Linked DNA regions of Cricetulus griseus. The protein of the gene in region 1 interacts with the protein of each later gene in a pairwise test. Links are inferred from orthologs where the notes say so. Each region holds a gene or a part of one and is shown on either strand. Other genes may lie near its edges.

Evidence for each region.
Region 2: the proteins of Stk4 (region 1) and Sav1 interact in binary tests that used the Homo sapiens proteins (3 or more experiments, as listed by UniProt). The link is inferred for Cricetulus griseus from reciprocal best matches to the Homo sapiens genes STK4 and SAV1.

Annotation. Positions count from the first base shown.
Region 1 is NC_048599.1:15,441,504-15,448,097, reverse strand, and holds the start of Stk4 (serine/threonine-protein kinase 4), read left to right. Parts: upstream 1-1,988; 5' UTR 1,989-2,105; coding exon 2,106-2,140; intron 2,141-6,594. UniProt on the Homo sapiens protein: Stress-activated, pro-apoptotic kinase which, following caspase-cleavage, enters the nucleus and induces chromatin condensation followed by internucleosomal DNA fragmentation.
Region 2 is NC_048598.1:133,400,644-133,407,137, forward strand, and holds part of Sav1 (protein salvador homolog 1), read left to right. Parts: intron 1-908; coding exon 909-1,355; intron 1,356-6,494. UniProt on the Homo sapiens protein: Regulator of STK3/MST2 and STK4/MST1 in the Hippo signaling pathway which plays a pivotal role in organ size control and tumor suppression by restricting proliferation and promoting apoptosis.

The DNA.
Region 1 (6,594 bases):
AATCCTACCACGTGGGAGGCTGAGGCCGATATACGTGAGCACCTCTTTTAAAACAAAATCGTTTCTGTTTAGGGCTGGAGAGATGGCTCAGAGGTTAAGAGTACCGACTGCTCTTCCCAGCAACCACATGGTGGCTCACAACCATCCTTTATGAGATCTGGTGCCCTCTTCTGGTGTGCAGATATACATGGAAGCAGAATATTGTATACATAATAAATAAATAAATCTTTAAGATCAAGATGACGCAATCGTGTTATAGGAAATAACGTGGAGTCTGTTAGACATGAGCAAGCTGAGGAAAGCCTCTTGAGTAACTGAGATGTAAGGCATAGGATTCCAGAGAGCTGTAAAGTACCCGGCATCTTGTGGACCATAAAATGTATTTAATGAGTGAATACAGATGACTCTTCTGTTGAGGTTGACTTCACTTTAAAACAACAGTTTTTAGTAGGTGTGGGGATACCTGCGATCATGTAGTACGGAGGCTGCAGCAGGAATACCAGGCAAGTCAGGGCTACGAGAGTGAGAGACCCATTCTCAACGAAAACAAACCAATATATGCTAGTTAAATATTAAAACACTCAAAACCGATAGCAAACAAAAGCCCCAAATTTGGCCCATCATGGTGGCACATGCCTTTAATCCCAGCTCATGGAGGGTGGGCAGAGGCAGGCAGGGTGGGGGGAGGGTCTCTGGTCTACATAGCAAGTTACAGGCCACCAGGGATGGACAGTGAGATGCTGCCTCAAACAAATCCCAACAAACAAACCCAAACTAAAAACAAAACAAAAAAGCCTCAAACTCCACAAAAGAATTGTGAGGGTGCCGTGATGAAACCACAGAAATCTGTGAGATTTGATCTATCTGCCAACAATTCTTTAGTCCAGCTTGAGCTGAGCCCAGAATGCCATTTTGGATCAAGTCAGTTGGACTGCTCTTTTTTGGGGGCGTATTAGGTCCAAAAGGAACCTCCAACCCCTCACTGACTAGGTCCAAGATAACAACAGTCTAGGCTCAGTTTGACAGGTTAAACAAAAGGATTACTGGTGGATAGATTGGTGTATTCTCCGGAACACAAATTTCTGTCTACCAAAAGGAGCCGCTTTCAATATCTTCCCTTGCTTGAAGGCAAAAGGTACTTGTTGACACATAGCTGTGGTTACACATCAGAGCCCATGCTAACCTCCAGGCTCCTTGTCCTTAGTAACATGTAGCTGTTACTAAGCCCCCAATGCTAGCTAGCATCCTGGCCCTTCTCATCTCCTCCACTATGCTAGCACCCATACTGTTCAGAGTAAGCTAGCTCACTCCTCTCCACAGCGGCTCTGCAGCAGCTTAGCTTTCTAGTAATGGCAACGTGTTTTTTTTTTTTTTTTTGTTTGTTTGTTTTTGTTTTGGCCCGATCCGCAATTATCTCTGTTTGCTATTTGTTTGCTTGTTTGTTTTTTGAGACAGGGTTTCTCTGTGTAGCCCCAGATGTCCTGGAACTCGCTTTGTAGACCAGGCTGGCCTCGAACTCACAGAGATCCGCCTGCCTCTGCCTCCCTAGTGCTGAGATTAATGGGGTTGCGCCACCACCGCCTGGCTCTCTTCACTATTTTGTCTGCCCCCAAGAAATAGTCTTGGCCAGTTAGCTTTTTCTCTTCGCTCTGGACTCTTTTCAGATGTCTTTGGTTCTTATCTACAATAAAACGTCCCCCAATCACGGAGCAGACATTTCGGTAGTTTTGTTTTCCTGCGCCTTAGCTTACAGGGCGCTTGGGGCTTTTCCCTTCGGCCCTAAGGAGAACTCAATTCTTATCAAACCCATGCTTTGCTAAGCCTCACTGCGCGAGAAATTGGGGAGCCCTCAGGCAATCAGGCATTCAGAGGCAAGCCAAGGAGAGGGTGTCGCTAACGCCTGAGCCACTAGAGGCCGCCCGAGAGGCGTCCCTTCGGAGTCTGGTTTCTATAGCTGCAAGCCACAGCACCACGTGACCCGCGCCGCTCAGCAACCCCGCCCGCTGCTTCCGGTAGGGGCGGAAAGCGGAAGTGTGGGAGGGTTTGCGGGGCGGGCTTCGGGAGGATGGAGCATTGAGGCGGTCTGGGCGGCTGCCGGCAGCGCCATGGAGACCGTGCAGCTGAGGAACCCGCCGCGCAGGTGAGGGGCGGTAGCCCGAGAGGAGGAGAATCGGGTGGGGAGAGGGATGGCGCGAACTTGCTGAGGGGAGACACCCGAGCGCAAGCCCCGGGCGGAGGGGGACCCGCGAGACAGGCGAGCGGGCTGCAGGAGCACCTGCTGAGTGAGGGAGCATCCGCTGGGCGCGATAGAAAGTGGGCTCGGTTACAGGGAGCATTCTGTGTGGGGGACTCGCCTGAGCAGCGTGAGGACAAGTTAGGAAGACACCTGCCGAGGCCGGGGGAAGCTCCCCAGGAAGAGACTCGAGGACTTAGGGCGAATGCCGAGGGTAGATGAAAGCGAACCCGTTTGGGATGAGCGGGGGCTCACTGAGAGGGTCTTGAATCCCACAGACCACGCGGTGAGGAAAGGTCTGTTGCATTGCTTCTGAGGCAGCAGGCGGTAGAAAAATTGTTGGAGGTCCCATAGTTAGTAAGAAGTAAAGTGGGAATTTTGTGTCCCGGTGGCCCTGTCCAAAGTCATTGCTCCTAACTGCCTTACTGTGGCAGTACCCAAGTTTCGTGGGTCTCGTAATGGAGAGAGGGTGATGGAGGGTGTTCTAGGGTCGTCCCGATTTGGGGATGGTGATGATGGTGGTGGAGCCTTTTGTTGCTGCTGTCTTGAGTGCCTGCCTAATTTTCTCCATATCCTTCCAAAACCTAAAGCTCTGGGACATAGATAAGGAAAGAAAATACCCGAGATGGGTTAGCTGAGGTCCAGTAAATAGAGTTGAGACACAGTAGATCCAGCCAGACGGTGTCCCTTTCAAATTCTGTTTCAATACTGTCAGCTCCAGATTCTAGAGGTATCTGGAATTGTTTTGGGTCAAGATGACCGACTCTAGGAAGTCTGCCGTCCCGGACTCGTTGATGTTGTGTTGGACCACTCCCCCTCACCTGGAGAAAAGAGCACAGAGCCCGAGGGAGTCATACTTCTCTCAGATGCAGCTAAAAACTTCGGTTTCACAGAGAAGACATTTGACTTCCTGTAGCAGAGGGAGCACTAAAATAGGAAGTGTTCAGAATAAGGGAGTGCCCGGCAACTGAGAGGTGAAGAGAGGGGATTCAAGCCTGGGGAGCACTCTTGGGAGTTGCTGGAAGTACATAAACGTGAAATAAAACAAATAGCTTGTTAGTGTGGTGTTCTGAGACTGTAATAGCAACGGCCATTAATTACACCCAGAGAGCACTTACAGGGTGCCAGGCACTGTTTTAATTGCTTTGCATCTTGCCTGTTCAACCATATGAAATTGCAGTATTTGGCCACTTTTGAACTTGTAAAAAAAAATGGTACTTTGAAATAGTACAACTTACTAACTCACTGACCTTCACAACTAATGCATAAGGAGGATATCCTTGTATCCTTGTTTCACAGATGATAAAGCCAGGGCAACAGGTCATTTGTTAGCTGCTCCATAGCTAGTAAGAGGCAGAGTTGGAATTTTAATGTCTGGTGATCTAGTCCAAAGCCTTGTTCTTATAACTTCCCTACTCTGGCATCTCCCTGGAAGTTACCTGCTACATTGGGTCTTTGTATATGTGTATCTTAGCAGATAGTTATTGTATGTATGCAGTCAGTAACTACTAGATTTGTTCTTTCTTTTTGGTTCCCTTTCCCAAAAAACCTTCATTTAAGTAAAATGAGAATTGTGAATGTGAGTTTTGTTTCTCCCTTTGTGTTTGGTGATTGTGGCAGGGGTGATTGGGTTTTGTTTGTTTGTTTGTTTTGTTTTGACTTTGCTCATCCTTGTACCTTTTGGATTTTTTATTTTTAAATATTTATTTATTTATTTGGTTTTTCAAGACAGGGTTTCTCTGGAACTTGCTTTGTAGATTAGGCTGGCCTCTAATTCAAAGAGATCCCAGTGCCTCTGCCTCCCGGTGCTGGGATTAAAGTTGTGTGCCACCACTGTCCAATCTACCTTTTGGATTTTAAGAACTGTAATAAATTCCAAGAGAAGAGCATTGCAGGACTGAATCGTTGGATGATTGGTGCTGTCCTGTTCATTGTAACTAGTGGACTGCTGGGTTTTATTATCATCAGTACTAACTGGCTTGGATTTCTGTAACAAATACCACACCCAGATGGTTTAGACAACAGAAATTAACTATTTGCCCTTCTGGAGGCTGGAAGTCTGAGGTCCAGTGTCTTTGGCTTACAAATGGCCATCTATCCCCACATTTTATGTGGTCTTCGTTCTTATCAGTCCCTGTCCTCAACCCTTCCGCTTACAGAGTCATCTGTCTCCAGATACAATCTCACACCCTGACACTCTTTGGCTTAGAATCTTAATGTTTGCACGAAGGATAGGGCATAGTTAATTTAGTTGCCTTTTTGTTTGTTTTGAGACAGGACCTCACACTGTAGCTCAGGTTGGCCTCAAACTCACTACAGTCCAGCTCTGAGTGCCAAGAGGAGCCATTGGCCCTGACAACTTTGTTATTAAAATGTTTCAGTTTATCTTTTACATTTGTTGTAATCTGCAAAATTTTGTTAGAGGGATGGATATGCATTAATAAAATGGGCCTTTGAGAGTTCTGATATGGCACAGATGATTGAAAACTAGCCAGATCTGAGCACCACTTTGTAACATTTGTTGTGTTTGGAACTATAGAGATGTCTTCTTGAGAGGTTCAGGTGGTGTGCTGCCCAGCAGTCTTAGTGCAGGAAATAGTGTTTGTATTCATGAGCTTGACATGCCTGTGTGACTCAGTGGTTGATGATGGATGGTGTAATGCAAGAGTTAGTGATTTTAAGACGTCAATTGCCATTGGGTAATGGTGTAATGGAAGGCCCAGGGTGCATTCCTGAAATGCTGGCCATTCTTGTGTCGGCTGACTTAGGATAGGAACATCACCAACATTTGGTGTGTGCAATTGCATTTATTGGCCAGGCCTGTTCATTATGAGCAAGAAAAAACTAGTATGGGATGTCACCTCTGAGTGAATGTCATCCCACAGTTCACGAAAGTCAGACCACTTGGGTGATAGTCTTGTCCTTGAAGTCTCAGTCACTTAGCAGATGTTTCATAGAAATTGTGTTTGTCGATAACCTACTAGTTAGCATTTTCAATGAAATTTTATTATGAGTCAGGTGTGGTGGTGTGCACCATTCTGGAAGCATTCTGGAAGGCAGAGGGAGATAGAACTCTGAGCTTGAAATCAACCTGGTGTACAGAGCCAGTTCCAGGACAGCTAAGCTACAGAGAGAAGAAAAGACAAAAAAATTCTATTTTGATAACATAGAGAACACAAGATTGCTACTCAAGGTTATGTGATTGCCACACCTACATTGGTTGATCCATTTAGCAAATATTTTCTGACCATCTATCTCTTGGTTATTTGGTACCAGAGTTAATAATGCTTCTTTAAGTTTAAAGTGTTTTAAACATTCTAGATGCAAAACAAAACTCCCATGTATGTTGTTTAAAAGGCATGTGAACAGTTGTTTAAAGTTTCTCTGAGTGTTATCGAGTCTTGCAACTGTCTCTTAGGACCAAGGCAGTTTCCTTTGTTCTGTGGTTTCTGAAATAGCGACTTCGGCTTTTGTTAAACTGTTAAGAGTCAACACTTGAAAGAGAATCAGATCTCCTCTGTATAAGCTGTGTATAAGAGTTTCTTCTTGATGAATGAGGTATTGTCCATTGTTTATACAGCTATGATTGGGGATTTTACCAAAAAACCCGAGCTGTTCGCTTTAATTTCTGAGATCGTAGAAATAAAATATCACGTCTGAAGTTTAAGGGGAGTTTCACTTCAGCCCTTTTGCCTTGAAGTTGGGAGTTTTTATGAAGTCATTGGGATTTTAATTGTAGGATCTTTTGAATCTTCAAATGTCAGTGTAGTCAGTGTATTTTGTTGCTCTTCAAGTCAAGAGCCACTCTCTGTGGTTCTTCCTTTCTTTATAAAATTCTGCAGGATCGACCCTCTGAGGTCAGGGCTTATTGGTAGTTGGTTGCACTTCATATGGTCTGGCTTTTTTTTTATTTTCAATTTTATATTCTTCTGATTTTTCTATTTTTATTTAAAGTCATTTCTTCTAAGAATTGATATTGTTTAGCTAATACAGGCTTTTTTTCTGCACAAGAAGTTTACAGTGTGACTGCTTCCATATTTCACCATTTCCTGAGCTGTCTTTTCTTTGTTGTCTTTTGTAGCTTCAGGAAACTATTATGTAGACACACACACACACACACACACACACACACACACACACCCTATCCTACAACAAACTCTTTAAGCCTGTTAATATGTTTTATTAGAGGTCTCAGTTTTGAATTTGGAATGTTGCTTTTTAACCTCTCCAGCTTATTCTGATTGTCTAGCATCACTGCTAAGTTTGAGTGAGTGGCCCATTTGATTCTTGGCACTAGTGAAAGGTACATGGCTGATCATGACAGGAGGGTCTTAGTGAGATTGTTAAAACTCCTTGCTGTC
Region 2 (6,494 bases), on another chromosome or scaffold:
GGTCTTTCACCCACCTGTCATGGCGGATGGCTAGCAAAGACAGCTAGAAGGGGCTGCAGAGAGATCTTGTAGGGCAGTGTATGGGGAGTGTTTAGGGGTATGCACAGGCCTAGGATTGGTGTGCCTTCAGGCTTGGAGGGCTTGCCCTGTGTTGATTGGTCAATTGGTTGTTATGGCCCATAGGCCTTCCCAGGGTGGTTGCTATGCTCTGCACGTCATTGCTGTGCACTTGTCCCATAAGCACACCCAGAGCAGTAAAGCATAGCACCACCAGCTAACTTCTGATTGGTTCCTTCCCACGAGACAGGCATCTGACTTCTAGTGACTAGGACAAGGTCATGGCGAGCACGAGTTACTGTCATGGCTGCTGAAATGGGGAGCTGGTCCCTGCATTCCCCCACTTTCTTTTTTGGAAATTTCAATCATGGAATTGCTGTCTCCCTAGCGTCCCCATCAGGGAGTGAGAGATATTGGCATCCCCATGCAAGGGAGTTCCTTCTGACTTAGCATTTTAACCAGGGAAAATGGGCAGCGAATTCTTTCCCATGCTACTCCCTGCTGACTTTGGGACGAAGTTAGGGACCCATGAACAAAGATTCTTGGCAATACTAAAATCAAGTGAAAACCTAACTGCTGTGCTGCATGATGCTGTTGACTGCATTGATTTATTAGACTATTTTCAGTCTCACTGACATTGTATTGTATTTTCTATGACAATATACAGCATCAATTCAGGTGTTGCTGAGCTTATACATAGCACAGTAATACAGATTATAAATTTATTTGCTTGGGAAATTAAAGTACTAGTATTAAAATTAAATTTTTGTTTTCTGGAGCCCTTTGTTAACATATATAGCTTTAGAAGAGTGTACTTATTGAAATGGTGATCTTATTCTGTTTGATTATAGATCTTATGCCTTCATTTATTCGCCATGGTCCAACAATTCCAAGACGGACTGATATCTGTCTTCCAGACTCAAGCTCTAATGCTTTCTCAGCTTCTGGAGATGGAGTAGTTTCTAGAAACCAGAGTTTTCTGAGAACTCCAATTCAAAGGACGCCTCACGAAGTAATGAGAAGAGAAAGCAATAGACTGTCTGCACCTTCTTCTTACCTTGTCAGGAGCCTAGCAGATGTTCCTCGAGAGTATGGCTCATCACAGTCATTTTTAACAGAAGTTAATTTTGCTGTTGAAAATGGAGACTCTGGTTCCCGATACTTTTATTCAGATAACTTTTTTGATGGTCAGAGGAGGAGGCCACTTGGAGATCGTGTACAAGAAGACTACAGATATTATGAATACAACCATGATCTCTTCCAAAGAATGCCACAGAATCAGGGGAGGCACACTTCAGGTAACTTGACATAATAAATAGCACATTGGTTTATACTTACATTTTGATTTAAAAGGTGATCTTCTGTGGGTTTTCTTGGAAAGAAAAAAGAAAAAGAATTCCTAGAGAAAAAGAATTTCCATTTTGCCATTCTTGCTTCTGCCTGCTTACTAGTAGTTTTTAACCTACAATGAATGACAGAACTCTTGGGTCTGTTTACTGTGCTGTCATACTAAACTTGATGTTTATCTCAAGACCATATTGACTGTTAACACTTTGGGGCTTGAAAATGTGAAAAATTTAATGTCTCTAGTTAGATTGAAATTAGATTCAGATTGGATAGAATGAGAAAGGTAAGTGTGTTAGCAAATTTGTCTTAAACCTAAGAAAGGAAAAGAGAGGAGGAATTGACTGCTAGGTATACAAAGTGTGGGCCATTGCACCCTGAGTGATCTAGCACTGTTTTTCCAAACCTTACTTTTTGTAGTCAATTATTATTTCTCAGGTTGGTTAATTATGTGTGAAACCTGCCTTTTTTTTTGTAACAGGTGGGAAACATTATGTTAATGAAGAGAGCTGCACTTTTTTCTTCTGACCTGGAGGTACTCCTCCAAGAAGGGGCTTATGGAATGTGGTACCTCCACTTGATTCCTAAAGCTGCCATATGGGACCTGGGGTCAGAACCCAAGTCTTCTGCTCATTACTGTAGATGAACTGATGCATGCTAAGAAGAAAACTTTTCCCACTTAGTAAATTGTAGGCTTTAAATCTGGCAGGATAAAGATGAGGATGATTGGTGTTTTTTTGTTTTTTTGTTTTTTCTTTAATCAGACACAACTTATACTAAACTGACTGACTTAACAATTTGGAATACAAATGTTTTAGCAATAGGAAACTTATCTTAATTTAATATTCATTATGTGTCTAGCAGTCCCCTTGGGATACCTTATATTTAGAGAGACAAAACCAGCATACACACAATAGTCCTAAAATACCTTATGGTTATACTTTGTAGTACTAACTGTTAGAGGGAGTCAGAAGAAAGATGAGTGTTGGTTAGAGGAATGCATGCTCCAAGGAGCAGATAGAATTTGAATTAGTCTTTGAGCTTGGACTTGGCATTAACATGGTAGGAGAAAGACATTTTAGGTAGAAAATTGGGGATACCCACTGCAAACAGAGTAGGTGTGGTTTACATTTAGGAGACTATGTTCCTACCTATTTTAAGAAATGTGATGTAAGGTGAAATGGAGACTCATGGTCCAACAGAAGGCTGAGACTTGAAACAAAGAAACCATTGCCCATTTCAAGATTAAATGCTTGGAGGGAAGGGTCAGTGGTTAAGAGCACTGGCTACTCTTCCAGAGGACCAAGTTCATTTCCTAGCTCACAGTCCTCTAACTCCAGTTTGAGGGGATTTGATACCCTCTTCTGGCCTCTATAGGCACTAGGCATGCAAGCGATGGAGTATATGTTCTCTGCCATCAAGATCTAAAAGAGCATTAGATCCCCTGGAAGTGGAGTTATCGGCAGTTGTAAGCTGCCATATGGGACCTGGGATCAGAACCCAAGTCTTCTGCAAGACAGCAAGTACTATTAACCTCTGAGCCATTTCTCCAGCCCCCAGTGATTAGTATTTTAAAGCAAATTAATGAGGTACCTGCTTCAGACATTTGGAGGGACAAGGGGAAAATGGGACACATCCAGATTCATAGAACTAGGACCCCTGCTGGGCGATGGTGTCACACACCTTTAATCCCAGCATTCAGGAGGCAGAGGCAGGCGGATCTTTATGAGTTCGAGGCCAGGCTGGTCTACAGAGTAGTTCCAGGATAGCCAGGGCTACACAGAGAATCCTGTATTGAGAAAAAAAAAAAAAAAGATTTTAGGTTATAACCAACATCTGCTTTTAATGTCAGTAGACTTCCATTCTGAGTCTCTTCTGTTTAAAAACAAAAACATTTGCCTTTTTTTTTTGTTTGTTTGGATACAGGGTTTTTCTTTCTGTAGACAGAGTTTTTCTGTGTGTAGCTCTGGCTGTCCCCTGTAGATCAGGCTGGACTCAAACTCACAGAGATCCGCCAGCCTCTGCCACCTCAGTGCTGGGATTAAAGATGTGTGCCACCACGGAGAGGCTAACTTTTAAAAATTACATTTGTCTTAGTTTGGGTTACTGTTGGCATCGAGAGGGGGACCTTGGCAGATCCCATGGCAGGTGAGGGACAAACAGAGCATGCAGACAGAACTTATGTGGGAAGTTTTATTGGGGGAAGGAAAGGGAGACAGGGGAGAGTGAGTGAGAGAGAGAGGGGCAAAGACCTGCCTGCCTCTTCAGAGGAACTGTGGGAGAGAGCGGGAGTGGGCGGAGCTTGTCTCTTAAAGGGACCTTTTGCACCTGCATATAGAGACAGGGTATTGCCTGCCATGCTCGAAAGGGGTGATGCATTCTGACAAGTGACCAAGGGGTGGGGCCAACGTGTGTCTGGATGCTAACACCATGGCCAAAGCAACTTGGGGAGGAAAAGGTTTATTTGGCTTACAATTTCATATTATTGTCAAAGGAAGTGAGAACAGAAAGGGCAGAAACCTGGTGGGAGGAGCTGCTATAGAGGCATTGGATGGGTGCTGCTTACTGGCTTGCTCCCCATGGCTTGCTCAGCCTGCTTTCTTATAGAACCCAGGACCACCAGCCCTGGGATGGTACCACCCAAATTGGACTAGGTTCTCCCCCATCAATCACTAATTGAGAAAATGCCCTTCAGGCCTGCCTACAGCCTGATCTTACGGAGACATTTTCTCAACTGAGGCTCCCTCTGATTCTAGCCTGTGTTTACATGAAACTAGCCAGTACAATGTGTTCCTGCGTGTGCACATAGGTGCGTGGGCGTGTGTGGAGGTTAAAGGACAACTTGCAGGAATTGGTTCTCTCCTTCCACCTTGTGGGTCCTGGGAATCAAACTCAGGGACTAGTGCTGAGTACTTTTACCCTCAGACCAGTTGATCTCTGAAGCTTGCTGGCTGACCAGTCCAGCTGAATTGATTAGTTGGTCCTAAACTTTTAAAGTTTTAAAGATCACTAAGAAATAAAAATTTTAAAAATTAAACTGAAAGTATCAGACTTTATTTAAAAAGTACTGAATGTATTTATTCCAGTAAATGTACAAGCATTTAGTTAACTAGAATCATCTTGTGGAAGCTGATACTGTTTTGTTTTTGCCGAGCAAGAGAAGTAGCAGTTGTCTTAGTTCAATACGTAAAGCCCTTTACCAACATCCTAATTAATACACATGTAGCATTTGTTATCTGTTACTGTGGTCCTTGTGGAACTCATGGTTCCAGAACCCACTTTACTGTCTTTAGTAAAGACAAATACTGCTGGATTTGGAAACGAGAATTTTTAAGTGTTATTTACACATATAGGGCTCAGGCAGCTTCCTAGTTGTTAAGGTCTTTTGAGGCATTCCCAGTGAAGTTTGGTAAAGATGAAATACTAGTTGAACCTGAAGGGACCAGTTCCCCATTTCGGCAGCCATGACAGTAACACGTGCTCGCCATGACCTTGCCTTGGTCACTAGGAGGTCAGATGCCTGCCTCATGGCAAGGAACCAATCAGAAGTTAGCAGGTGGTGCTATGCTTTACTGCTCTGGGTGTGCTTTTCGGACAAGTGCACAGCAATGACGTGCAGAGCGTAGCAACCACCCTGGGAGGGCCTATGGGCCATAACAGCCAGTTGACCAATCAACACAGGGCAAGCCCTCCAAGCCTGGAGGCACACCAATCCTGAGCCTGTGCATACCCCTAGACACTCCCCTTACGCTGCCCTATAAGATCTCTATGCAGACGCCTCGAGCCGTCTTTCCTGGCTAGCCTCCATGGTGGGTGGATGAAAGACCTGAGCTAACATGGGGTTAGCTCATTAAACAACTATAATAAAGCCTCGAGCAGTTTGCATCAAGCTTTCGACTCCACCTGGTGATTGGGGTGACCTTGGTACTGGGCCAGATCCTGGAGGCCTGAGCTTCCGGGGGTCTTTCAAACCTTCTTGGAATATTCTGTCCTTAGCTTGTGAATGCTTACTTTATATTTAATGGAGCATTTTTGTACAGTTACAGCCATACAAACAGAAACTATTCATTTATGAATAAATGCCAGTTACTATTTTCTGGGACTAATTTAAATTTTGGAAAACTGAGTTTTTAAAGTTGTAGCTCAGAAACTGAAGTTCTTTTATTTTCTTATTGATTAATTTAAAATTGATGGCTTGCTTGCTTGGTTTTGTTTGAAGAGTTATAATTGATCTTTTGTTGCTAAAATGATATGGTTAGTAATGTTCATTATTTGATCTTATACAGTGGGCTTTGGTAAAATAACTTTCTCAAACCTTTTTCTCCTTTCATGTGAAATGGTAGTAAGTCTCTTTGCTTGAGTTCCTCATGGTTGTGGTATTGTGTGCATTTTACTCCATGTGTTAGGACTGGTTTCTCTCTTTGTGATGTTAGGTTTGACCATGCTCTCTCCATGTCAGCCTGGTTTCCCATCAGGAACTTCTCCAGCAAGCTTACCTGTTGGTTTTGGGGAGTGGGTGATGATCCTTTTTGTTGAGTATTGAAAACTGTGATACTTAATTCTATCATTTTTTCTGACTTATTAGAGTTCTAAAATAGTTTTAATAAACTTGATGGTTATTCATTTAGGAAAGATGGGGTAAACACTAGATCTTTCCTTTTATTTACTATTTTTCAGAGTAAAGAAGTGGTGCCCCAGCCACTTCTCCAAAGGTAAGTAATGAAATTTTTTTGTGGAGTATCTTCATGACCTCATAGATAACTTTTTTAATTCCAAGATTTATTTGGGTTTAACTAGGTTTTCATTAATATCCATTTTCTGTTCCAAGATCCACTCATGTCTTTGTAACCTTCTGTGGTCTCTGCCACTTTCTTAGTTCTTTTGTTTTCTATGATCCTGATAGTGTTGATGGTTTCATGTTAGACATTTTTGTAGAACCCCCTCAATATGACTTTGATATTTTCCTCCAGATTAGATTGAGCCTATTTTACTGGCTTTGAGAGGTGGAAGAGGGAGGGGAGAATGGGAGAGGGTTGAAGGAGAGAGAAAGAAAGAAAAATCTAGTGTGAAAAGATAGCCATGTGATATTACTG